Caenorhabditis elegans: one gene and its partners. The protein of the gene in region 2 interacts with the protein of the main gene of each other region in a pairwise test. Each region holds a gene or a part of one and is shown on either strand. Other genes may lie near its edges. The genes, in order: rde-2, rbm-26, hcp-1 and sas-4.

Evidence for each region.
Region 1: the proteins of rbm-26 (region 2) and rde-2 interact in a two-hybrid assay, tested with the Caenorhabditis elegans proteins (one study listed by BioGRID).
Region 3: the proteins of rbm-26 (region 2) and hcp-1 interact in a two-hybrid assay, tested with the Caenorhabditis elegans proteins (one study listed by BioGRID).
Region 4: the proteins of rbm-26 (region 2) and sas-4 interact in a two-hybrid assay, tested with the Caenorhabditis elegans proteins (one study listed by BioGRID).

Annotation. Positions count from the first base shown.
Region 1 is NC_003279.8:7,279,995-7,284,462, forward strand, and holds rde-2 (SH2 domain-containing protein), read right to left. Parts: upstream 2,878-4,468; coding exon 2,642-2,877; intron 2,599-2,641; coding exon 2,448-2,598; intron 2,388-2,447; coding exon 2,238-2,387; intron 2,191-2,237; coding exon 2,092-2,190; intron 1,974-2,091; coding exon 1,914-1,973; intron 1,868-1,913; coding exon 1,466-1,867; intron 1,418-1,465; coding exon 1,198-1,417; intron 1,153-1,197; coding exon 745-1,152; intron 670-744; coding exon 659-669; 3' UTR 530-658; downstream 1-529. Other genes in the region: hint-1 (Histidine triad nucleotide-binding protein 1), read right to left, coding at 13-150, 195-317; pfd-6 (putative prefoldin subunit 6), read right to left, coding at 3,136-3,262, 3,401-3,525, 3,571-3,641, 3,689-3,746; F21C3.6 (DUF4200 domain-containing protein), read right to left, coding at 3,966-4,034, 4,133-4,216, 4,361-4,468.
Region 2 is NC_003281.10:5,709,737-5,715,376, forward strand, and holds rbm-26 (C3H1-type domain-containing protein), read left to right. Parts: upstream 1-1,805; 5' UTR 1,806-1,849; coding exon 1,850-1,908; intron 1,909-1,955; coding exon 1,956-2,077; intron 2,078-2,128; coding exon 2,129-2,525; intron 2,526-2,613; coding exon 2,614-2,805; intron 2,806-2,871; coding exon 2,872-3,964; intron 3,965-4,010; coding exon 4,011-4,142; intron 4,143-4,195; coding exon 4,196-4,333; intron 4,334-4,372; coding exon of another isoform or gene 4,373-4,379; coding exon 4,380-4,412; 3' UTR 4,413-5,108; downstream 5,109-5,640. Other genes in the region: B0336.12 (uncharacterized protein), read right to left, coding at 326-409.
Region 3 is NC_003283.11:6,592,202-6,599,745, reverse strand, and holds hcp-1 (HoloCentric chromosome binding Protein), read right to left. Parts: upstream 5,553-7,544; 5' UTR 5,521-5,552; coding exon 5,470-5,520; intron 5,413-5,469; coding exon 4,811-5,412; intron 4,767-4,810; coding exon 4,265-4,766; intron 4,216-4,264; coding exon 3,913-4,215; intron 3,862-3,912; coding exon 1,948-3,861; intron 1,901-1,947; coding exon 1,637-1,900; intron 1,585-1,636; coding exon 1,022-1,584; intron 973-1,021; coding exon 744-972; 3' UTR 538-743; downstream 1-537. Other genes in the region: ZK1055.6 (Protein F37C4.5), read left to right, coding at 39-491; ZK1055.2 (Nucleotide-diphospho-sugar transferase domain-containing protein), read right to left, coding at 6,112-6,325, 6,372-6,490, 6,538-6,705, 6,750-6,814, 6,863-7,085, 7,130-7,212, 7,492-7,544.
Region 4 is NC_003281.10:8,313,836-8,320,447, forward strand, and holds sas-4 (Spindle assembly abnormal protein 4), read right to left. Parts: upstream 4,754-6,612; 5' UTR 4,747-4,753; coding exon 4,654-4,746; intron 4,606-4,653; coding exon 4,510-4,605; intron 4,430-4,509; coding exon 4,085-4,429; intron 3,969-4,084; coding exon 3,749-3,968; intron 3,707-3,748; coding exon 3,174-3,706; intron 2,998-3,173; coding exon 2,554-2,997; intron 2,284-2,553; coding exon 2,125-2,283; intron 2,079-2,124; coding exon 1,891-2,078; intron 1,843-1,890; coding exon 1,783-1,842; intron 1,030-1,782; coding exon 741-1,029; 3' UTR 514-740; downstream 1-513. Other genes in the region: F10E9.2 (uncharacterized protein), read left to right, coding at 1-19, 64-188, 236-451; F10E9.11 (rRNA-processing protein FYV7), read right to left, coding at 4,911-5,178, 5,236-5,303; F10E9.10 (uncharacterized protein), read right to left, coding at 5,794-5,850, 5,895-6,011, 6,058-6,165, 6,210-6,314, 6,365-6,445. UniProt on the Caenorhabditis elegans protein: Required for centrosome duplication. Plays a central role in determining centrosome size.

The DNA of each region.
Region 1 (4,468 bases), on a different chromosome or scaffold from region 2:
ATTTATAATTACCTTTGAAGCAGTAACCATAAGCTTTCCAATAAGCGCAGCATCCGAATCAACGGCATTCTCGAGCATATCAATGCGACGCTTAGGGATCACAAGAAAATGAATTGGAGCTTGTGGAGAGACATCATGGAATGCGAGAGCCTTAAATAAATATTTTATGTGATCGTTTGCCTGATCTTACATACCTCATCATCTTCAAAAATGATTTTCGCTGGAATCTCTTTTCGAATTATTTTTCCGAAAAGAGTGTCGTTGGCTTGAACATCTTTGTTAATTGCCGCCAAGTGGGCTTTATCTACTTCCGACATGTTTCTCTTTGTAAACCTGAAAAATGGTGGAATCGATAAAGACACCTTGCCTACAGTAACCCTGACCTAACTGGATTACGGTAAGCAAGACGCAAAGCGGTTTTAACCAAAGAGGAAGCCATACTAAAATATTGAAAAATGGGCAAAAAATAACCAATATGCAATATATTTCAAACGATGAAAACGCTAGACAACGAGAAATAAACAATAAACATGTGAAAATAAATGCTTTAATCAGTAAAATGATACAAAAAATAATCAAAAAAGTTAACACAAGAACAAGAATTAATGTACCAGAATACAATTTGAACCCATAACGTGATTTGTCGATTGTGCAGTTTTTACTTTCGAACTGAAATAATAATTTGAATAGAAAACCAAGAATTCTCCTAGGTTTCTTCGAAAACTCGGTTTCCCTCTTACTTACCATTCATGAAATATTGATTAGAAGACAATGGCGGAAGCTCTCGAATATCTCCATTTGTGAACTGTTGATAAGCTTCACCTCCCTTTCCAATATGTAATGAAACATTTCCAATTGGTTTTCGATGAACAACCCACGCGATTAGGTCAAAATCTGCTGATAATTTCGAATTCAAATGATTCAGAAGACGTTCTTTTGGAATTGTGACAAGTACTCCATTTGTTGCTTTCAAATAATAAAAATGATGATCCGAGTTCATCTCTGTGTTGTCATGATATTGCTCCACTACTAGTTCAGGTTTTGAAAGTGCGATTTTTACTTTCATTTCAAGCACTCCTCCGAAGCATCTGACCGAGTTTTTAAAGCAATCAATTTTAAGGAGAGAATCTGGCGTGTCTGGTTTCTTTTTCACTTAAAATTAAAGTTTTTTTAAAACATTGGTAAATTGTAAAATACCTGCAATATGTGTATATGGAATCTTGAAAATGAGCCTATCTTTTGTTTCAATTCTACGAGGCAAGATATCGAAGAATGCCACGTCTCCGAGTTGAGGGGATCTTTCCAATCCTTCACACGATCTTTCTTGAAGCAAAACGTTTATAACGTCTCTTTTGGCTGTGTACAAAATTGCAAAGCCATCGATTTTTTGCACAACGGTGCATAAAGCAGATTGAGGCTGAAATATGGTGATGAAGATTAATATTATTGTTCTGGCATTACGTACTTTTTCGGAATCAGTTTTATCTTGACGAAGCAGTTGAAGCATCGTTGGAGCTAAATCTTTAATAAACGGTCTCATCGGAATATTAGATGTTCCACGTGTTCCGTATGTATCTTCATCATCAATTTCATCTTCATCTGATAACTGATTTGAATCAATAACTGGTGCTGCTCGACTTGAGATTGTAGTCTGGGACAAGGATGAATCAACTTGATTCAATTCGATACTTTGGCTTCGAAAAGTTTCCGGAGGTATTTCCCGATTCTCTGACACAACTCTAGAGGAATTGTACGAATCAGATGTCTGCGAGTTCATTTGAGAATGCACGTCTTCTTGATGTTGACTTGATTGTTGATCTTGTACGTCGGTTTCGGGTGTTTGAACATATCCATTACCAGTCATAATCTAAAAATGTGATTACTTGAAAAATTCTGAACTATAAGTCACATACATCCAACAGTCTTGTATCATGAAGATACTGTACATCAGAATCAACGACTGGATTCGGGAGCTGAAATTATATTATGTAAACTGCAGGAGGTTGTGGCTTATATGTTCTGGGAAATTTTGATAAGCAAAAACCAAAATGTGAACAATTCAAAATGAACCAGGACACTTTTGCCACATACTGATTGATATCCATTTCGGCTTACAGCATCACAGGTGTGTAGCTTTTGTGGATCTTCATGCACACTCAATGCGACCCAACCTGCCAGAGATGCTTGAGCCTGCAATATTTTTATTTTAATAGTTTTTTTTAAAATCGATAACTTACTTCAACAATAAAACTGCGTCCATCATAGTGTTGACATGATGATTTGATCAGACTAAAGTCGTCAATAATATGATCATAGGAAATATCGTAACTGGTGAAATCATACAAATTATTTTTCCGATCTACTATTACATCAAATCGAGCTGTTATCTGAAAAATTATAAAAATCCGTACTCTTTATTTATTAAAACTTTTTCCATTTGAGATTACCAAAATTTCTCCTTCATCGTTAGCCTCATACTTCGGAAAGAATCTCGCCGATGAATTTCTGTGATTCGGCAAAACGTCCCAGTTTTCATATCCACAACTATTTGAGGAATCCAATACGTATTGTCCCACGAAGTTCTGACAAACAGTTAATCTAAAATTGCTAGTTAATAAAATCAGATAAAATAATGTCTAACTTTAGCCAGCGTCCTATCTGCAGGCTCTGAATATTTCCACTGATTTCGACAAATCCATCGATATTTTTGGTATAGAAAAGATAATTTCTGTTTCCATATTTATTGTAACCAACTACCAATCCATATATTTGGGTTTGCGGTTGTTGAATTTGTGGTTGGGGATTATACGACGATGATGGCTGACTTTGAGCATAATAGTGATTTGGAGGAAAATAAGAATGGTACCCATTATGCATCTGAATAGCAAGAAAATGAATATAGTTATAAATCAGAACTGATGTAATTAGCAATGACTTTTAACATAGACGTGAGCACAAATGGTATAAAACAGTTTGAAAGCATTTATTGTAAATGGTTCCCCGAAACAAGAAACTTATTTTTTTCATAGAAAAATTAATGTGATCTTCTCGTTTCGGAGAAACACCAGAGATGAAGAATAGGCAAAAAATAACAAATTAAGAGCAAAAAATATGAGATTCATAGAACAAACTGGATTATTTCTTCTGTGCTTGGGCTGCTGCTTGAGCCATCATCTGGAAGCTTTTTTGCATATTCATCACCTTGTCTCGCTGTTCCGTACACTTCTTCGAAATGTCTGAGATGCTGGCTTCCACTCGTTTGCTGAAAATTGTAATTAAAGTTTTGTTGCATTTTAAAACGTTTAAAGGTAAAATTTATTTGTTATTTTTATTTGTTTCGTGTAAATCAATAGCGTGCAAGAAGTAATACTAAAGAAACATGATAAACGTTACAACTCACGTCTCAGAGTCGATAAACTCAAGCCGTTTCTCCACAGTCGATCGAGCCTCCTCCAAATCTTGACGAACAAGAACCGCTCCGATGAGTTTGTAGACTTTCGAGTCGGATTCCATCAGATCAAGCTCCTGAATGAAGATAACATGAAAACTGAATCTCAAACTTTTTCTTACCGCTTTCACATTTTTACTCTCAGTTAATCTCATTTCCATCTCTTGGCGACTCGTGAAGTACTTTTCGCGGTCTATAATTAAACGATTGAAAAGATTGTTTAAATTAACAGTTACTAACCTTTTTCAAGAGTTCTGAGCTTGTTAACTTCTTCTTCGAATTTAGCCATATCAGCCATTTTGATCGTTTTTAGTGGGAAAAGAAGTGAAAGAAAACAAAATTGTGTTTAAAAATCTAGAAGAAAAACGGGTTCTGCGCCATCCTTCAAAGCGCCAGCAAGCTTTCTTGACGCATTTTCCGTTTTTGGCGGAAGTTCAAAACTGGATTGTATATGTTAACTTCAATTTTGTTATGCTTTTGCTAAAATTTCATTCAATAGTGACAATACGAAATATTTTCAATATAGATATTTCCAGAATCGTGAAAACCAACTTTGCATGGAATCTTGATAATATTCTTCGCGTATCTGAAAGTTTTAGCTTAATTATATACAATAATTAAATAAGTTTCTTGTAAGTTCAGGGTATTTCCCTAGGTTCTATAAACATAAAAATATATTCTTACCTGTTTTGTCTTTTTCAATTCTGACTCTAGTTTTGATAATTGAATTTCAGAAGAACGAAGTCGGTCTCCAGCAGCGTTGAAATGCTGGAAAAAAAATCAATTTTGTTTTAGCCTTGATCCACTTTTTTGAAAGTCTAAAAAAAATTGAATAAAATATTTAATATACACTGTATCCAAATATACTAATAAATCATAAAACAAATCGTAAAACAGAAACCATAAACTCACCGATTTTTCAATTTGTTGTGTTTGAATAAAATCATTTGAATCGGTATATAACTGCACTTTGATTGCATTTCTTGACTCCCGATAATCACTCATCACATTCTCAACTGC
Region 2 (5,640 bases):
AGGTAAAAATAATTGAGTTTAAGTTAACAATTAAGTTACATCAAGATAACAAAACTGAATGTTTGAGTTTTGGCATGTGAGATCAGAAAAAACAAACCCTGACTAAAAAATGACGTTTTATTCAATGTACTACTCGCCTTTCTCAAGAGACAAGCGGGTAAAAAACGAAAAGAAAGTATTTCCGAGTACCTGTAAAATGAAGCGAAAGAAAAAGTAAATAGGAACGATATGGATGGTGCTGGCGGATAAATGAATGAGTTTGAGTGTGAGTTCTTTCTCCCCTTCAGTGAGTGCTGCTCATGCCGCGATTTTTTTTGCGTTGTCTCTATCTCTGAAGCTCGCTGGCTGTCATGTTGGATCTGATTTTCGAAATTGTAGCGGAGGATGCTTCCTTCTTCTCTCGCAACATTTTGACATCTGGAATTACTTAATTTTTAGTTTTTTTAGTATCCGGATTTTAGAATAGTACTTTCCAATCAATACAATCAGATTTTAACGATCAAGTTGGTCTAGTTCAAATTTATTAACTTCAAAAGCTTACTTTTTTTCGAATTTCTATTTGCGCCGTTTTGTGATCCTAAAATAATATGAAAGCTCGTAATTTTAGAATAAAAATAACTTTTTTGATAATACCCAGATTTTTCGATTTTTGCTTCAAAAATAAGGTGCCTGGTCTCGACACGTCTTTTTATAAAATACAAAAATACGTCCGCCTTTAAAGAGTACTGTACCTCTAGACTTTTGTTGATACGGGAGTTGCATCGATTTTTCATAGTTTTTCGTAAAAAATATATGTATTTATTTAAGAAAAAAAAAACTGAAATAGAACAATAAACCCACAAATTCTTTCCGATAATGAAGGCAATTATTAAAAAAATCGATGAAAATTCACCATCAATAGTTTTTAGGAATTAATCTTTTACATTTTCCCGGTGGTATGTTACAAGGTTTTATCAAAAATATTGCCAATTATATTTAGACATTCAGTTTCATCTTATCATCATCATCATCCCAATCCATCTTTCGCTATTCGTCAGAATCAATCAGTTATTTTTTCTTTGACAATCAATCACCACACACAATGTTCCGCGTGTAAAAAGAGTACGGTAACCTGGAAGTCCAGAAAACATTGACGGAGACCAGTTTGTTTCGACCGCCCGTGTGTATTTCTTGTCTAGTCCTCCTCGCTCCTTCCATGTTTCGTATTTATGCGCAGTGTTTCCACACACACTGCCGCTTGCCGAGATACGTACGCAACGCCTGTTGGCTGCTGCTGCCAATTTTTGATCATTATCGTACCCCATTGGTTCCTCCTTTTTTCTTGTCCATTTTAGGTTTTGTTCTTTATTATTATCAGTGTATCATTTAGAGATTATAATTCTACTGGCTCTTTTGTTTCAATGCACTCAACTTTTAATGTTACCAATTGTAGTTGAAAAAAGCAAGAATGATAATTATATTTTCAACATTTTGCATTTAGTTTCATAGATTTTAGTGCAAATTGTGTAGTTTATTGAGATCGAAAAAACGAAGTGTTTTTCTTCGAAATGTTCTGTTTGTTCTAACTTTCTAAATATTGCGAAATCTTTATAATGTTATTTCTCTTTTCGAAATTTTTACTTTCTGTTCAAATTTTGAGTATTTTTAATAACTCCCTTATAATGAAAACCCTAATTACACATTCTCGCATTTCTTTGCGTCTCATCTTCATTCACTCTTTTTTTTTCTCTCTACTTTCACCTGCTCTCACTCTCTCATTCTCTCTCTCGCTGTGATCTTCGTTTCCCAATTTTTTAACGAATTTTTTTTAGACTCGGTAAGAAACCTGAAAGAAAATATCAAAGAAAGCATGCACATCGACAATGAGGATGCTCTCTTCGATTGGCTCTCTGATGAGCTCTCGCCAATGTAAGTTTTTTCATTGATTAGACAGCCTACTTATACTTTTTTTTAAGAACTGACGCTGATCCAAATGCTCTCGCGAAATACGTGTTGGCTTTAGTCAAGAAACCGGATAAGGGACATGATGAGCTGAAAGCATTTACCAATGAACAGTTAAATGTGTTTTTAACAGACCGTAAATTTCATTTTTTGAAATGCTCACGTCATTCAATTAATACATTTACAGATACTGCTCCATTCGTCGACAAAGTCTTCGAAGCACTCACAAGCAAAAGCTATATGCCGGCATCAACAGCGCCTACCTCTGCTTCAGCAACTGCGCCTGATCTTAAAAAAGAAAAGGCACCAGCTGAGAAGCCATCGAAACCTACAGCTCCACCGGGTGTTCAAAAGTCAAGCAGCTCTCCTTCAGCCAGCAAAGCCGAGTCCCGCCCATTGCGCAAGCGAATTAGTCCACCTCCATCGGAAAATCGAGAAAAGGAGAAGCAGTCTCGTGACAAGGAACGCCGTCGTTCACGGTCCCCAAGAGATCGTCGAGGCCGCGCGACTACTTCAAGAAGTGGGCGTACTTCATCAAGTGATCGTGATCGTCACAGCAAACGTCGTTCTCGATCCAGATCACGGTAATGAATTTTAGAAAAGTTAAATCCCATCTATGTGTAACCATGGCTAACTTTGATTCGGGTTCTGATTAACTTATAACATTTTCAGATCATCCAGTGGCTCAAGAACTCCACCATACAAATCAAGAAGCAGTCGTCGTCGTTGTAAGGATTTCGAGGAACGTGGATATTGCATTCGCGGAGATCAGTGTCCATACTATCACGGTCGTGACCCGGTTGTAGTTGATGAGAATGCACTTGGGTCAATGGTTCCACTCCCGGCTACCGCTCCTAATTTCTCGTACGTCCCATGTTTATCTAACAATTCTTTGCAAAATCTCCCTTCTCATGATCTAATCTCATACAGTTGCAGTCTGCCTCCACCCGGATACAATCCGCTCAATCCACCTCCACCAGGAGTCGTCGTTGCCGCTGGTGAATACAACCCTGAAGCTCCTGCTCTCAACAATTACAGTATACCACCACCGCCGATCCCTGGACAATGGCAACAACCACATGTAGCTGCACAATATGTTCCCCAATCTGTTTCTTCTTACTCTCAGCCACCACCCGCCGCTGCTCAAGGAGTTGTTACTCAGCCGGGTTCTTTCCGTGGAGCACCACGTGGAAGAGGAAACATTAGAGGTCGTGGTGGATTTGCCCGTGGAGGTTTCACTGGAGCGATCAATAGAGATAACTGTACTCTTCAAGTTGCCAAGATTCCACCAGAGATGAACACGATCGCAAAGCTCAATGAACATTTTGCCACATTTGGAACTGTCGATAATATCCAAGTTAGATATAATGGAGAAATCGATTCAGCTCTGGTTACTTATGCTTCCAAATTTGACGCTGGCAAAGCTTACAAGTCTCCAACTCCAGTTCTCAATAATAGGTTTATTAAAGTATTTTGGCATAATCCTGGAGGCGAAGGATCCGAAAACGCAACTGGAAAGCCGTCATCTCCAACTTCTCCACCAAAACCTGTCGAAAAGCCGAAGATTGCCACAGTGCAAGAATCAAAATTTGTCAGTGTTGCTGCTCAAAACTATCGGAAGCAGATCCAGGATGCTAAAGAACGATTAACGAAAGAGAAGAGTATTTTATCGACGCTAGTTCAGGCTCAGAATCAGCATAATATTATTCTTGACAAGTGGATGGTTAAACAGAAGGAGTTGCTCATCAAGGCGAGAACGTCTACTGATGAAACTGATAAGAAGAATGCAACCAAATTGGTCAAACATCTGCATAAAAAAATAAAGGCATGCAAGGAAGAAGTCGACGGAATCCTGCTCAAAATATCAGAAAAGTCAATGGTGGTTGATGAGATTGCAGCCCAAATTGAAGAGCTTAAAAATCCACAAAAATCGGACGATTCGACCCGGAAGCGAAAAGCAGGAAGCGATGGAGACGAGCCCCAATCTAAAATGAGCAGTGTTGTCATCGTTCGAGGTGTAACAGTGAGTTTTCTTTAAATTGTAGATTTTAAAAACACATTATTTCCAGGATGAATTGGTCACTGATTTGATGGCACATATGGAGAAGTTCGGTGAGGTTTTTGATCACAGTGTTAAAGCCGACGACGATGGTCTCATAACAGCCGTTTTTCCGTTTAGAAAAACAGGTGATGCGTTGAAAGTGAGTTTTCAGTTTAAACGGGACTCGATTTTAAATAAGATGTTAATTTTTAGGCAATGGCGGATGGCAAAGTTCTGAATGGTGTGGACCTCGAGATGGAATTGAAGACGGAGCGAATCGAGGAGATCCCTTCAACTGATACGAACATGTCTGCCGACCAGTTGCTCGCTGCAATTCCGAGCAATCTTGAGGTAACTTGGTTTTCACTTGAAAATTAAATTTAAAAAAAGATTTCAGTCTGACGAAGAAGATGACCTGCTAAATGATTAGTCCTAGTTATATTAGAACTTTGATCTCAAAATATTGTCTTGGTGATCTTACTCGTTGTTTCCAAATGGTTACTTTTCTAGTTATCTGGCTGGTTAGCCTATTTAACCTCAGATTTACCTCAATTTTTCTTCCCGTTTATTATTGTTGCCTATCAGAAACTGTTTCGATTTTTTCTATTGTATATCCATTATAATTTATCACATTTCCTCTCTTATCATTCTTTAATTGTCTTCAGTTTAACTGCCCATTTGGCAATACTTTTTCATCTTCATTTTTTATTGTTCTTGGCTAAGAACTTGTCATGTGATCTGTTCAGAATCGCAATGATTATTGATTTTTACCTGATTCCTTGACAAGTTCCCATTATTTTTTCGTTCATTTTTGTTGTTTGCATTATTTCTATCGATATATCTCATTGATGAAAAAGCCAGCAAAAAAGAGCAAAAGAGAGCAATAACTCCACTAAATGAGAAAAATAAAGTAAAAGAATACATAATGGCTGTGATCTCGAAAAAAAATCAGCGAAAGAATAAAAGACGGGCCACTGAAAAGTGAACGAGTACAAAAAGAGCCCCTCCCGAGTGACGAGTAAAAAACGAGTTAATTTTCAATAAAACACAGGTATTTTTGCGGAAACCGGTGTGTTTTCGTCGTATTTAGCCGTGAATTGCCAGAAAATAAATGATTTTAATTTTTTTTTTCTTTGTTCTTTCTTAACTTTATTCCTCCAATTTTTCTTGCTTCGACGTTGCAATCGTCACATTTTATCTTTGATTTGATCGTCATTTCATTTATTTCCGAATTTGAACGCAAAAAGCTCGAAAATCAAGGTTTGTGACTCCTAATAATTACTGCAGAAAGTAAGAAATTCTCGGCATTTTGAAAGGCGGAAAGATGAACTATCCTAGATTGGCGCAAAGGCATTGATCTATACTGTCTGCGGCGGCCGGTTTCTATTAAGCTTTCATTTTTCTCCAGCACATTCTTCAGAAGCGCCACATTGCTTTAGTCGGAAATGCGGGTCATCTATTTAGAAAGTTTGGCGCTTTGTATTTGATTTAATATTAATTTTCTCATCTGATTCTATTTATTAGTCACAGTATCTCGTGCTGCACTCTTGTGACACGTGTCCTTTTTTCAGAGTTTTTAATTGCGTCACGATTTTCAAAATTTCTCAACAATGCGCTCGCGTTCAATAGGTTTTTCTTCTCTCAAAAAGCATTTTTCA
Region 3 (7,544 bases), on a different chromosome or scaffold from region 2:
CATACTTTTCGGAGAATTTATTGCAATTCATGTTTCAGAGTCACATGAAAGATGTGTCACCAGGTGAACGATTCACCTGTTCTCTAGGCGTGGACACGGCCATTCGTATCGAATATAAGCCAGCCAAAAAGTTCCATGAAGAAGGCGGTTACATCACAAAACATTCAACTCATGCCACCGAGCAGACGATTAGTGTAAAGAATACAAGAAGTGGACCGCCTGTACTGTTAACAATCAAGCATCATGTACCACGTAGCACAGATGAGAAGATACGTGTGAAACTGACATCTCCAGTTGGCATTACCTCTGATCAAACTGATCAAATTAATTCAGAAAACGCTGAACCAAATGTTGGAATTATTCTGAACAAAGATAACAACTTGGAGTGGACTATCAAATTAGACGCTATCAGTTCGAAGGATCTATTGATTAAATGGATTGTTGAACATGCGAAAGGAGAGAACATCGAACTTCGCGAAAATTTGCAATGATAATAATCCTGTGAAATTTCTGAGCTGTAATATATCACTTTTTCACTATAAATGACGTCACCTTTATTCAGGATCTTCTTTGATTGTATTTTAATGAGACTAAAAATCGTTGATAAATTTAAAAACCCGTTTATTCTGACCCTAAAAGCAAATAATATTTGACAAGTAAATATGGGTTCAGAACGGGTATTCATGGCACATATGTTAGTGGGGGACGGTGAGAGATCTAGTGGGGTGAGAGAATCTTATAGCCTATTGGTGTTGGCAGTTTGATCGATTCTTCTTCGATGGAGTTTCGCGAGCCGACTTCTCCAAAACGTGATCCTCCGGATGATGATTTGAAGCATCTATCTGCCGGGCAGTAGTATTCGACATGGTTTGAAGACGATCTTGGAAGGAGTTCTGCGCATCTTCGAAGGCATCCTCATGAGCAGAGTTTTGCGGTTCGACAAGTGAGCTTTCGCGGCTCAGTTGTTTCACACTGAAAATAAAACGCTCAACTTGTCAATTTTAATACATGTTCAACTCACCCAAGTCTTGCTTGCTCGATCAGTCCCATTACTCGTGGCGGCGTCTTTACACCCTTCAGCTGCTTGATCTCGGACTGAAGTGTCATGATCTTGTCCTTATACTCCCGCTCGTCATCATCAAATGCATCACAAACTTTCTCCAATCGCTGGATTTCGATTTCAGCCCTCACCAACTTTTCCTCAAGTTCCAGAATACGAGAATGTGCTTGTTCCAGTGCTTCCGACTGTTCTTTATTTTCAACTTGAATCAAAGTGATGTCGTGTTGAGCTTGTTCTTCGACTTCAATGACACGACGGTCAGATGCTTCCATCTTCTCATGCATTTCTCCAAGCTGTCGTTGCATTTGCGAAAGCGATTGAGTGAGAGTGCCGAGTTGCATTGCCTGCGACTTCCAGACATTTGCTTCTTCCAGGCGAGCCTCAAACTGCTGTGAGATTGTTTCGATCCGCGACTCCAGAGTAACAATCGTGTTCTCTTTCTGAGAGAGTGCTTCCTCTGCAGCCTCGAGTTTTTCGTTTGCATTGCTCAAAGACGAGTTCCACTCCAATCGGATCGATGCTTTCTGTAAAATTTATCAATAAATTTGGAATTAAAAAAATGTCCGTTAAACTAACCTCCACTTCGAAAGCTTGCACGAGGTTTAGCATCTGCTCCTGAACTTTTTCGAGTTCTTCGACTTTCTCCTGCTTTGCGTTTTCGGTGTCAGCTAGGGCCTTTTGTGCAAACTCAATTGATGCTTGAAGCTCTTTAATGCGTGAATTCAACTCCTCTGACTTGGCTTGAGATTCTTCGATTGTACTCTGTGATGTCCGAAGAGTATCAATTACGGATTGGAGGCGTTCTTGTTCTTCCTTGTGCTTTGCAGCTTGATCCGCGTTCTGAAAAAATACAATTTTATAAATATAAAAGAGAAATTTCGTCAAACCTCAACATCTCGGCTTTCAATCTTGGCCACTAGTTCCGCAAGATGTTCTTCTTGATCCATCATTGCCTTTGTAGACTTTTCTACTTCTCCACGAAGCTTATCAATAGTCTCAGCGGAAGTCCTCGTCAGTTCAATGAGCTCGGCGTTTGCAGATTCCAACTGAGAAGACATTTCGGATAACTGATCCATATTCAAGTTAGTATCAATTTCCATCTGCTCATTTTGACTTTTCAGCTCACAGATTTGCGATTCAAGTAGTGACACTTTGTCGGTGAAGTCTTGGATGGTTTTGCTTTTTTGAACGTTTTCAGCTGTACTACTCTCGATAGCAGTTTCTAACTCCTGAATTTTACCTTCCAACGAAGTTACGAGATCAGAAGATCTGCCTTTTTCTTGAACAGCAGCGTCAAGTTCAGCACGAAGAGCTTCATACGATTCACCTTGTTCTGATTTAAGAGCTTCCATAACGACTTGAACAGCATTGGTGTCCTGGCGAGCAGTTTCAAGCTCGCTTTGAAGATCAGAGACTTGCACGTTTAACTCTTGAACCCTGGCATCTGAAGTTCTCAAGTCTTCCTGAAGACGATCAGTGAGATCCGAAAACTGCTGAGCCAAGTCGAGTTGAGATTGAAGCTCCAAAACCTTACCGTTGGAATCCTTCAAATTGGCACGAAGATTGTTTAATTCCTCCAAAGGTTCCTTCAAATTCTCCAACAAAGATTCCAACTCTTTGACTTTATCTTCAGAAGCGACAGCATCAGCCCGAGTTGATTGCATTTCTTCTTGGAAGGCGGTCAATGAAGCTGTCATTTCAGAAATCTGTGCTTCAGACGAATCCAACTTCAACTGCATTTCCTTATTCGCTTCAGTGATGACAGAAAACTCCCGACTAGAAACTTCAATTTGCTGTTCGAGTTCAGACACTTGAATATTCAATTCTTGGACCCTGGCATCTGAAGTTCTCAAGTCCTCCTGAAGACGATCAGCGAGATCCGAAGATTGCTGAGCCAATTCGAGTTGAGATTGAAGATCCAAAATCTTATCGTTGGAATCCTTCAAATTGGCACGAAGATTGTTTAATTCCTCCAAAGGTTCCTTCAAATTCTCCAACAAAGATTCCACCTGTTTGACTTTATCTTCAGAAGCGACAGCATCAGCTTGAGTTGATTGCATTTCTTCTTGGAAGGCGGCCAAAGAAGCTATCATTTCAGACATCTGAGCTTCAGACGAATCCCATTTCAACTTCATTTCCTTACTTGCTTCAGTGATGACAGAAAACTCCCGACTAGAATCTTCAATTTGCTGTTCGAGTTCTTCATTCTTTGCTTTCGACATGGCAAGATCGGCTTGAAGTTCTTCAAAATTCCTCAGAGAAAGTTTCAACTCTTCGTTTTGCAAATTGGATGACTGAACCTCACGTTCAAGCTTTGAAAGCACCTCAATAGAAGACTGAAGTTCGTCAATCTTTACTCTTGACAGTTCAATATCCAATAAATACATTCGATGAGCCTCTTCCATCTTCAACTCCAGATTTTCCACCTTAGTGACGGCAACATCAGTTTCTTGTTGTGAAGATAAGAGTTGAGCAGCCACCATCTCCAATGAAGACGTTAGTTCCGCAATTTTTTCGTTTGAAGATGTCAGATGTACATTCAACGAATTGTTTTCATCAGACTGTCTCTTCACTTCTTCCAACTGCATCTTCATCTCAGAAGTCAATTCCTGGATTGTAGCTTGCGATGCCTCCAACTGTGCATTGGGCTCACTCGTGGATCCTGACTCAAGTTTTGCAGCTTCTAACTGGTTCTCCAAATCAGAAATCTCTTTAATCATGAGCGATCTGAACTCTTCGAGTTGTTGCTCGAGCTCCACAACACGAGAATTATTGGTGGCTTCAAATCGCAGCTTTTCGACCTGAAAAATAAAAATATATATATTGATTTGTGATTATTCAATTAAGCCAACCTCTGCTTCAAGGCCGTTCACTTTTTCCTCGGCATTCTTGATGTTTTCGGAAGCTTTTTCTTGTACCACCATTAACTCTGCTTGAAGTTTTTCTTTGTTCTCAGACGACAGTTGCACCTCCAATTCAAGTTGTTTGATCTTGTCGTGAAATTCTTGGATCTCCAAGTTTGCTTGTTGGGATTTGAGGGCGAGTACTTCTGCCTCCAGTTTCTCCATATCCTCAATCATCATCTTGCGAACAAGTTCGTGCTCATACTTCAGCGATTCACTTGTTGTTTGTGATTCGGTGCGAATCCTTTCCATCTTAAAAATAATTAATTAAATTTACTTCGGCAATAAATTCTATAAAAACCTCTTCACTGAATCTCGCTTCTTTCTCTACTAGATCGCGCTGAAGACTTTCGTTCATTTGTTTGGTATTCTCAAGCTGTTTGATTGCTTCTTGATGGCCTCCAATTAACTCCCGAATCCGATCTTCCGAAGCAGTCGCTCCTTGTTGCATCGAATCTACTTTCAAAGCCTTCTGGGTCAACTCCTCGATTTGAGCGTTCAGAGCAGCAAGATTGTGTACCAACTGATTCTTCTCTTCGTCAGGCTCTTCCAGCTTCAAGCGTAACTCCTGAACTTGTTTCTCGAGAACTTGTTCTCGTGCCTTAGCGGCTTCGCGGTCAGATTTTGCCTTTTTCATTGCAGAATCTACTTGCTGAGTCAGCATCTTTTCCTCAAAAATTCGAGCTTCTTGAATCTCACTGAGCTGTTGACTGTGACTTTGACGGAGAAGCTCGATCTGCGACTGAAGAAGTTTGATTGACTCCTCATGCTCGGAATTCTGCTCCAACATTTCAAACTCGTGTCTGAAATTATTTTGTTTTAAGCTATAAATACGACAATTTCTTACAGTGAGAAGTCAATGTGACCTTTGACAGGAAGCACTGGGGACTGGGGGACATCTCGGACTGGCTTTGTAGGCTGATCTACTCCTTTGGCGATTTCCGTGAGAAGCTGTGGATTAGATACTGTTGGAGTACATTCTCGGCTCAGAATCTGGCTCATTGGAGTACGAGAAGCAGTAGGCGTAGTCTCTCCGTCAAGTGCCAATTGATTATCGAAATCATTGGACAGTGTGGCATCGGCGTCCGTCTCGTCGCTTTCTTGAACCATGCTCAGGTTGCTCGTGCAATTTGAGGTGTCGTAGAGCTCAGATTGTTCTAAATTCACATCAACATTGCTGCCCGGAGTGATGGAAGCATCGTTGGTTCCCACGAAGGATGCATCATCAGTAGCCAAAGCTGTTACTGTAGACAAATCCAGTAGACTTGTGTTGTCGGCAGGGGTGATAGAAGAAGCAGAAGACGGGCGGGAATCATGCTCGAGGCAGGTCTCCTCCAGGTTGCTATCGGCCATATTGCCCGACGAAGTTCCAAAAATGCGTTTCGGTTCTCTTCCTAGTCGTGATTTAGGCGTAGCGGCGGAAAATGGCGACTCGGTTTGCTGGCGCTTCTGAAATAATTTATATTGTCATTGATTTAATTAAAATTTTGAGAAAATTCAACTTACATTTCCAGCTGAGCGCTTGTTCTCGTTGTCGAATATCGGCGATTCGTCCATTGTGAAAGAAACGTCGATTTATCTATAAATTAGCAATAATGATTATGGAAATTACACAAGGGATATTAAAAATCAAAAAGGGCGCGTGATTTGAAAAAAGGAGGAAAAAAGTACTAAACAGGAAATTAAGGGGAAAATAAGTTTTTAGAAATATATCTATTAAATACTGCGTGTGAAACTTTTTGACGTTATGTGGCAACAAATAAAGTAACAAAACAGTATTTTCCAAATGTCAGATAACTGAAAATGAACGTTCATGAATAATGAATGAATGAACGAAATGAAAAGTGCCGGATTCCCGCGCGTGGTGATTCAAAATTGAAACCTTCCCGCCATGTGCGGTGGAGCACGGTTGCTCTTACCGACCATAAGGTCAAAATATAATAGGTCTACAAGTGAAAATCGGTATATTTTATTTATTTTGCAGTTTGTGGCCTTGTAAAAATGGGGTTGATTGGAACAAAAAAATTAAAAACCATCGTTTGCGTTTTATGTAGTTTTCACAAATTTTTATTCCAAAAATATATCTTGTCTTACAATTCAAGTAAATATACATACACAAAATCTGAATTTAAAGTTTAAAATTGCTGGTTACTGAAACAATAAACCCATCATCCGGATATAAGACAAAACTTGCTGAAATGCAACATTTTCTTCGAACATTCTCAGGCTTTTCAGAATTTCGTTTTTATCTCCACGAAGTCGTGAATCGTATGACCATGTCGAATTTTGAGGACTACATTTTTGAAGATCTATAGGCCCACTCAAAGGATTATACCAAAAATCTCGTCCCATTTGGCTAGGCCTGTAATACTTGAATAATTTTTAAAAAATTCAGGTAATTTGCCAACTCAAGCTTCACATTCGGCGTTTCTCTCAATTGATTCGTTTTCCAACCATGGAACATGAAATCTAACTCTGGATGCCACATCATTGATGTCAGCCAGCCGTCTTTAGCCCATCCTGTTCCCTGTACAGTTAATATTGTAGATGTTGTGGTATTAATTTTAAACCTACTTTTTTCATAATTCTAACTTTTCCAAAATCAGTGGATACGCCAAATATTGCTCGGATACATGACTCGTAGGTGAAGAGATCATCAAAATTTTTAGAATTGTTATAAGCTTTTTTGCATACTTTCGTATTTGCAGAAGCCTGTGGGAACAACTTTTCGGCAAGGAAAATCTAAACAATAAAATAAAAATTGAAATAGGAAGTTACCAAGTTACATGAAGTGCTCCATTATCCGTTCCATGAAAACTATTTGGTAACTTGTACTCATAATCAGCAAACTCTGCAATTTTATTAAATTCATCACAAAAATTTCGAATAAAAAACTAACCGTTTAATAAATCAATAGCATATTGAGTATTTCTTGCAATATAAGATCCAGCCATGATCTCCCAATTATAGAATCTATCATAGAATGTAACATCAATTCCATCATCCAAAAACTCTTCAATTTTTCGCTTTGGATTCACAACACCAATATCAGCGTCTAAGAATAGGATCGCATCAAATAATGGGAGAATCTTTGCGGAAACACAGTGGCGGCGGAAAAATTTCTGAAATGTTAGCTTTTTTTAAATTAAAAAAAATTAGAACTTACATCTTTATGAGCACATTTGAAATCAGTATCAACTGCGAGAACAAATTCATAATTATGGATTTTGCAGTAGCAACGAACCGTTTCTGAAAAATAACAATAGAACGTCATAATAAAACATTCCAAAATGTTTTTTAAAGTTTTTAAAATTTCCAGTCAAAGTTTTGGAAAATTGGCAAATTTTCGAAAAATATGGGCTTTAAAGAAATCCAGGGCAATGTGGCATGTTCCAAGAATGTTTTAACATAAATAATTAAAAAAAAATTAAAATATTAAAAATCCTTTTAAAAAAACCAGTTTTTTTACTTTTTTTAAATATTTGTTTTTTTAAAATCTGTTTGTATAACACTATTAAAAAAACATGCGAATAGCAATATCATAATTCTCCGGTTTTGTGTCATTCGTAACAACCATCACA
Region 4 (6,612 bases), 2.6 Mb from region 2:
CCAACGGATGCCACTTATCGTAAGCTTAAGAATCTAAGATTTTTAAACAATTATATCGTTCAGACGATCTGATGGCTCGACTCTACACGCTTCTTGGTGTCAGCGGTAAGACCCATATGATTACTCTGAGAACTCAGAAATCATCGAGTGAAGAAGGCGAAGGCGAGTTTTCTGGTCGAGGTGACCCGGTTAGTTTTTTGATATTCTGAATATAAAAAGATAAGGATGATTGTAGGCTCCTCTTGAAGTCGGCGATTCGAAAACTCGTCTCAGTGATCTAAAGATTACACGTCACAAGATGCTGCTCCTGGATGTAGATGATCAGAAGAAAGATGGAAGTGGTGAGGAGAAGAAAGAGAAGAAAAGTGCGGAAAAAGAAAAGAAAATCTCACACGAAAATGTTCAAAGTTTGAGTCCGTCGAGTCGTGCAGAAGATCCGAGATCATCTTGAAATGTCTCCAGTGTTCCAATAAATCTTTGCAATCTGAATCCCGAATTTTGTGCAGAACATTTAAAGTTAAAATTGTTTATAACAGTCAATAAAATAACCATGAAGATCAATATGAAAGAAATGGGGGAGGGGGCAAGTGAAAATTGAGATAGTAAAAAATGATTGAATTATTTGATATGATTTTACAGGAGGTAGAATTAATTATAATTTTAGAGCACTCAGGAGTGAAAAATAATGTCAATGGAATAGATATACAAACCACAAGTTAAAATAAAGGGGTTGGAATTTCTCATTTTTTCCACTGGAACAAAGTTGTTTTCCGACGTTTATCGCCTATCATCTCTGCAGTTTCCAATGTACCTTCACACGTGGAAAGATTCACTTCAAGTCTCAATGTTTTCTCGCTGCATTCAGGTCGTCCAATGATCTTGAGAATATACTGATTGTTGAGACCAGTCGGATCTCCCTGATACCAACGAAGACGGAATTCTGGCTCAACGAGCTCAAAATCGTTGTAATCAGTGACGAGAACGTAGCGACATTGATTGTCGCGATATGTGTGTGTACCGGGATTGTATCTGAAAATTTGATAGGTTTCAGAGGCAAAAATATTTATAACGGGGTTTTAAACCTGTTTTACTAACTTTTTGAAGAATTGAGGTCATATTCCTAAATTTTGGGTTAGACAAAAATTATAGAAACATGTTTTGTTTGAAAATATATTATTTGCTAAAATATCGTTATACTTATTTGAGTTTTTTTAATGAATAAATTAAAATTCATCGAAAAACTAACTAAGGAAAATCGATGAAAATTCTGTTTCAAATTGAGTTTGAAATTACAGTACTCTTTGAAGGCGCCAAATTTTACAATTTTTTCGTTAAAGGACAGATTTTTAAATGTGAAAATACGTGCGCCTATAAAGACTGTTGTAGTTTGGTTTATTTATCTTTTTTCTAAACTAATAAACATGTTTTTATCAAAAAAAAAAGGGGCAAACAACAATTCGACAGTAACGCGATTTTTAAACTACAGTAATATTTAAAGGCGCACGCCTTTTCCCATTTAACTAAATTTTATCGTGCCGAGACATTTTTTGCCGCAAAATGTCACATCTCTTTTTTTATTTTTGTTTCGTTTTATTTATGTAATTTATTTATGTAACCACTTGTGATGGTTTGTATCTATTAATGTGTGTGTGTTTTTTTTTCTACCTAACGATATCTTCTATCGTAATAAATTAAATTAAATTAAATTAAACATCTGGGTAATAGTTTTGAGATTTTAATGGTTTTTCTGAATAATTAATTGGAAAATGAATAGAGACTCACTTTCTCGAAACTTCTTGATTGCTAAAATCCTTCGTAACATATCTTCCGTCCCTATTGAAGCTGAAATACGAAATTTCCGATGAACTTTAAAAAAGAAAATAATCTTACATTTCAGTTTTATACATTCCGTTTTGATAAATCAAATCAGTTCGAACTTCTCGTCGTTTAATACTTATCAATGTTATGTTATTTCCAGGACGAAGTACTTCAACTTGCCTTTGAAATGTATGAATAATTGAAATATTGTATGTGGGGAGATCAATTCTGACTGTTTTATCAACTGCGGATATGTAGATCTGTAAATTGGTCACTTTAATTGACAAAATTCCAATTAAAACTTACATTAACAGCGTTCTGCCGATTAACCCATCGAAGATCTCCATTGGAATATTCGAAAAGAAGACCGTTAGCTATTGTATCCGTCACTTTAGATGTTTCTCCAAGAGAATCTCTGTAGATCGTGCATTTTCCAAATTTTCCCGGCATTTCTTTGACTGGCATCTTCAAAAAGCATGATTTAAAATTTTTTTTTGACAATTTTCGGTAACTCGAAAACTATTGATTTTTAATTCTGGGAATTTTGAAAAATCGGAACTTTCGGCAAATGCTAATAGTAAGCTGTAAATTTTTAGACTTAAAAAACTATTTTTCAAAAATATTAATTTTTTAGTCGGGAAGAAAAAATAATTTGAAATTTTTTTTGAATTGATTTTTTCAGAGCAATATTCTAAAAACAATTTTAAAAAAACCCTGCTTTGATCTAAATATTACCATCAAAAACTCCTGTGGTACAGCTTCCAATGATTGTTCATTTGGTTCATCTGCCCAACTAACACCTCTTTCTCGATTTGATGTAGATGGTTTTCTAAATGTTGTCAACGAAGATGATGATGGATGTCTAGATGGACCATTTGATGTTATCGAAATTGGAACACTTTGATTCAAAACTGGTGGCACTGGATTCGAAGTTTTTCGATTCATTGCAACCTTCGCGAACATCTCCTTTTCTTTATCGTCGCGTTCTTTTTCAGTACGTAATTGTTTTACGCGCTTTTCTAAAGTCTGTAGAGTGCTCTTTAGCCGGTTTCCGTCTTTCTGAAGCTTCTCGATTTCCTCGTCTTTTTTCTTGAGCTTTTCGTCTCGAACACGTATATCCTGTCGATATTGTGCATTCTTGGTTTCTGATGCTCTTAATTTGTCGCGGAGAGTGGCTATCTGAAATTTGACAAGTTTTGCTGGATTTTAAATTAAAGGTTTTATAATAGAATTTCAACTTTTTAAATTCTCAATTTATTTCAATGAAAATTTTAGATTTTGCTTTGAGAAAAATTTTCAATCGAAATTTCGTGGTTTTTCTCGAATAACTATTTCTTGCTTAAATTCTTAATTACCGTTTCTGTGAATTCTTTATTCCTTTCTCCCGTTCCTTTCTTCAATATCTTCTGATCTCGTTCAAGATCTCGTTGATCCCTCTTCAATTTCTCGTAAAGTTCATCATAATCTTCCTTAATTTTCTCAAACTTCTTCTCAAATTCTTCCTCAACTCCTTTTTTGCATTTCTTAAATTCTTCTATCAGTTCTTTCTTAAAATTATTGACTTCGGAAATTTTTTCTTCGAGCTGTCGTTTTGTGGTGTGCACGGATTCTTCTGCATAATCCAAGTGAGCAATAGTGTCTCTCAGTTGTATGTTCAAGTTACGATGACGTCGAATTTCAATTTCAAGTTTCTGTCGGTCCAGTGATGATCCAGGAACATGTATTGGTTGATCATAAACGTGCTCGGGTCGATTTTCATCTTGAACATTTCCATTCTGTGGATTCTGTCGTGATGAGTTCATCATATCATTTCGTCTCAATGGGGCGGTCACAGTAGGTCTTTCATGGTGTTGTAAAAGGCTTATTCCCGTTTGAGCCTCACTTCGAACTAAAAATCTAATCAATCATGTTTTTTTTGTTATTAACCTACCAAGCTGATTAATTCTATTGCTGCCAAGCGGTCGAGCCTGTGGTGTTTCCAGAGAAATTCCTGATAATTCTTGCATTGAAGACGGCCAATTGTGATTATTTGGGCCAACGCCTAAATCGTTCATAATTGGTGTAGACCGAGTAGGAGGCTCAGAGGAGTTTGATGGTGCACAAGATGATGGCGTTGCCAGTGATGTTGTGATTGTTGAAGCTGATCTCATCTTTAATTTTAATTAATTAAATTTTGAATTAGAGAGTATTCGTAGGTTTTGATTTTTGATACGTAAATCTATTCTATGTAAAATTTCAATTATCATTCTGATTTGGCTGTTCTTACCGAATCCATTCTTCTCTCAAAAGCTTTGAATTCGGCAGCTGCATTTTTATACTTTAAAGCATCATCAGACAATTCATGATCTGAATTAACAAGAGTCGAAGGTTCATCAGGCACAAAAGAAGGCATTGCAGATACTTCATCCGTGTCATTGTCTTCTTCTTCTTCAGCGTGCTGTCCACTGTGGCCATGCTCTTCAGCAACGGAAGGTGCGGGATTTAGACGATTTTCCGGCGAAGATGACAATGATGGTTGATCCATTGGAAGAGATGCGGTGGTTGGTGGACGGGTCTCGTCTTCATTTGATATTCCACTGTCCACGGTTCGGGCAGAGTTCGGGAGAGCATTCTGGAATAATTCTACTTAATATTTATATTTAACTAGTCACCACAGTTTTATAACGTTTGTATTTAAGATATTTTACTTACCGACAGACTAAACCTAGGAACATTAATAGAAGGACTTGAAGCAGATGAAAGTTCCGACGTTGGAGGTGCACCAGCAGATGTTTTGTTGTTTCTAGGCTGAACTTCATATATTATTTCGATAAGCCTTGTATTTGCACAAACTACCATTCTAAATCTTGCTGTTCCTTGTCCTTTTCTCAAAAACGGCCGAGAAGGCTTCTGTTCACCGTCGGCACCGATATTTTCATCGGAAGCCATCTGAAGGCTGAAAAGGTTTTTAATAAATAATTGAATTATATTTCAGAAAATAAAGTATACTATCGGTAAGAAACGAAGAAACGATAAAACTATCGATTTTTAAAAACACAACAATTTCATTTCAACAAAAAAAATCTGAAAATATAAAAGACAAAACAATTAGTTCATTTCTTCTCCTTTTTCTCCTTATCCACTCTTTTCTGTATCCTCTCGAGAAGTACATCCATTTGAGCATTCAGATTTGGTTGTCCTTTTTTATTTCTTTTTGCCAATGCCTGATTCATCTTCTTTCTTGATTTATTTGTCGCTGCAATCGTCTCATTTCGCTTTTCTCGTTCGGCTCGCTCTCGTTGTTTCTCCTCTTCTTTTTCTTGCTTCAGACGAAGATATACGTCTTGTGCTTGTGAAAAGCTCATTTTCTTTTGCTTTTTCCTAAAAATGTTGATGATTTCAGATATATTAGTTTTGAAAATAGGAAAGAAAACTTACGATTTAACTTTTTTGGGTGGTTGCGATGCCACGGCAGTTGCATTGTCTGTCTTTGATCGATTTCCCATCTGAATAAACGATTGAGATTTCTAAGAAGAGATTATGTGAAATTATAAAAGCGTTTTGAAGGGATTAAGGTGGTAAACGGTATAATAACCACAGCGGGGGGTAACGAGAGAGCGTGCAAGACGAAGATGACGCAGACAATTCCCGCCGTCGTGCTAGGGAAAATGCTAGTCCACGGCCATCACAATTCTAGGCCATTTTCAAAGAAAACGGAGGGAGGTTCAAAATTTAATTGTTTTTGTTGAGAAAAAGAGAATTAATTCGAATTGTCCCTCATCATCCGCGCTCGTGACATGAATTTCGAAAATATAATTTATGCCAGTAATGAGTATCAAAATAATATTTACATGAAATGAATTGAGCAAGAGTAAATATCACAGTTCACATAATATTTTTGATTCCTATAAAATGTTTCATATTTGATAAAAACAATGATACAAGTTTTTTCACATCGATTTGAAGAAGATTGGAAATTCAAATATGTTGGAAGGATTATTGAAGTGTGAACGCAATTGTAGCATGTAAAAGGCATAAAAGTATTGAAGATCCCTGAAAATATCGATTTTTAAACAATCGTTGATTGGTAAACCCACAGATGACAGTAACCACTGATCAGTCCATTGAACTTGATTTACTTCAATGGAAAAATGAATTTCTATTACAGAACTAATACCACCAAGTAGAGAACAAAGTACTGCAGATGGCATTTCCTTTAATTTCAATATTTATTTTATTCCTCCTTCCTATAAAACTTACCATAAAATTGAATGTAAGAACACATGAACTACTTGAATAATATATTGCAATTATTAACCAAGAAAACGATATTACCATTATAATCGGAGCTGCTATCACCGGAAAGTACTGAAAGTTATGTCATTTCTTTATGGTACCAAATTGTATGATACCTGTAGTAAGTGCCGAGTACTTCCCCATCGAAATTCCTTCTCAACGACACAGTCATAATTTTTGCAGTAAAGAAGATTCCAGTATAATAAAGAGCAGGAAATAATCTAGAATTATAGGTGTAAACTTGAATTTTCTATTGATTGGTAATTCTTACGATGGAAACAGTGTAGAGGTACAGTGGTAGGCGTGTCCGAGGATATGGAGAACTTATTATTTTTGGTATCACTGTGACCATCCTGAACACATTATTATTATTGTAAGAAGAAAAAAGAAGAAATGAGTTAAATAAGGATGTCAATGGGTAGATACTTGCAGATAACTATTTGTAAAATATAATTTTATAAGTTATAAGTAACGGCCTTGATCGTTTAAAGGATACCGTTTATTTTCAAATGAAACTAT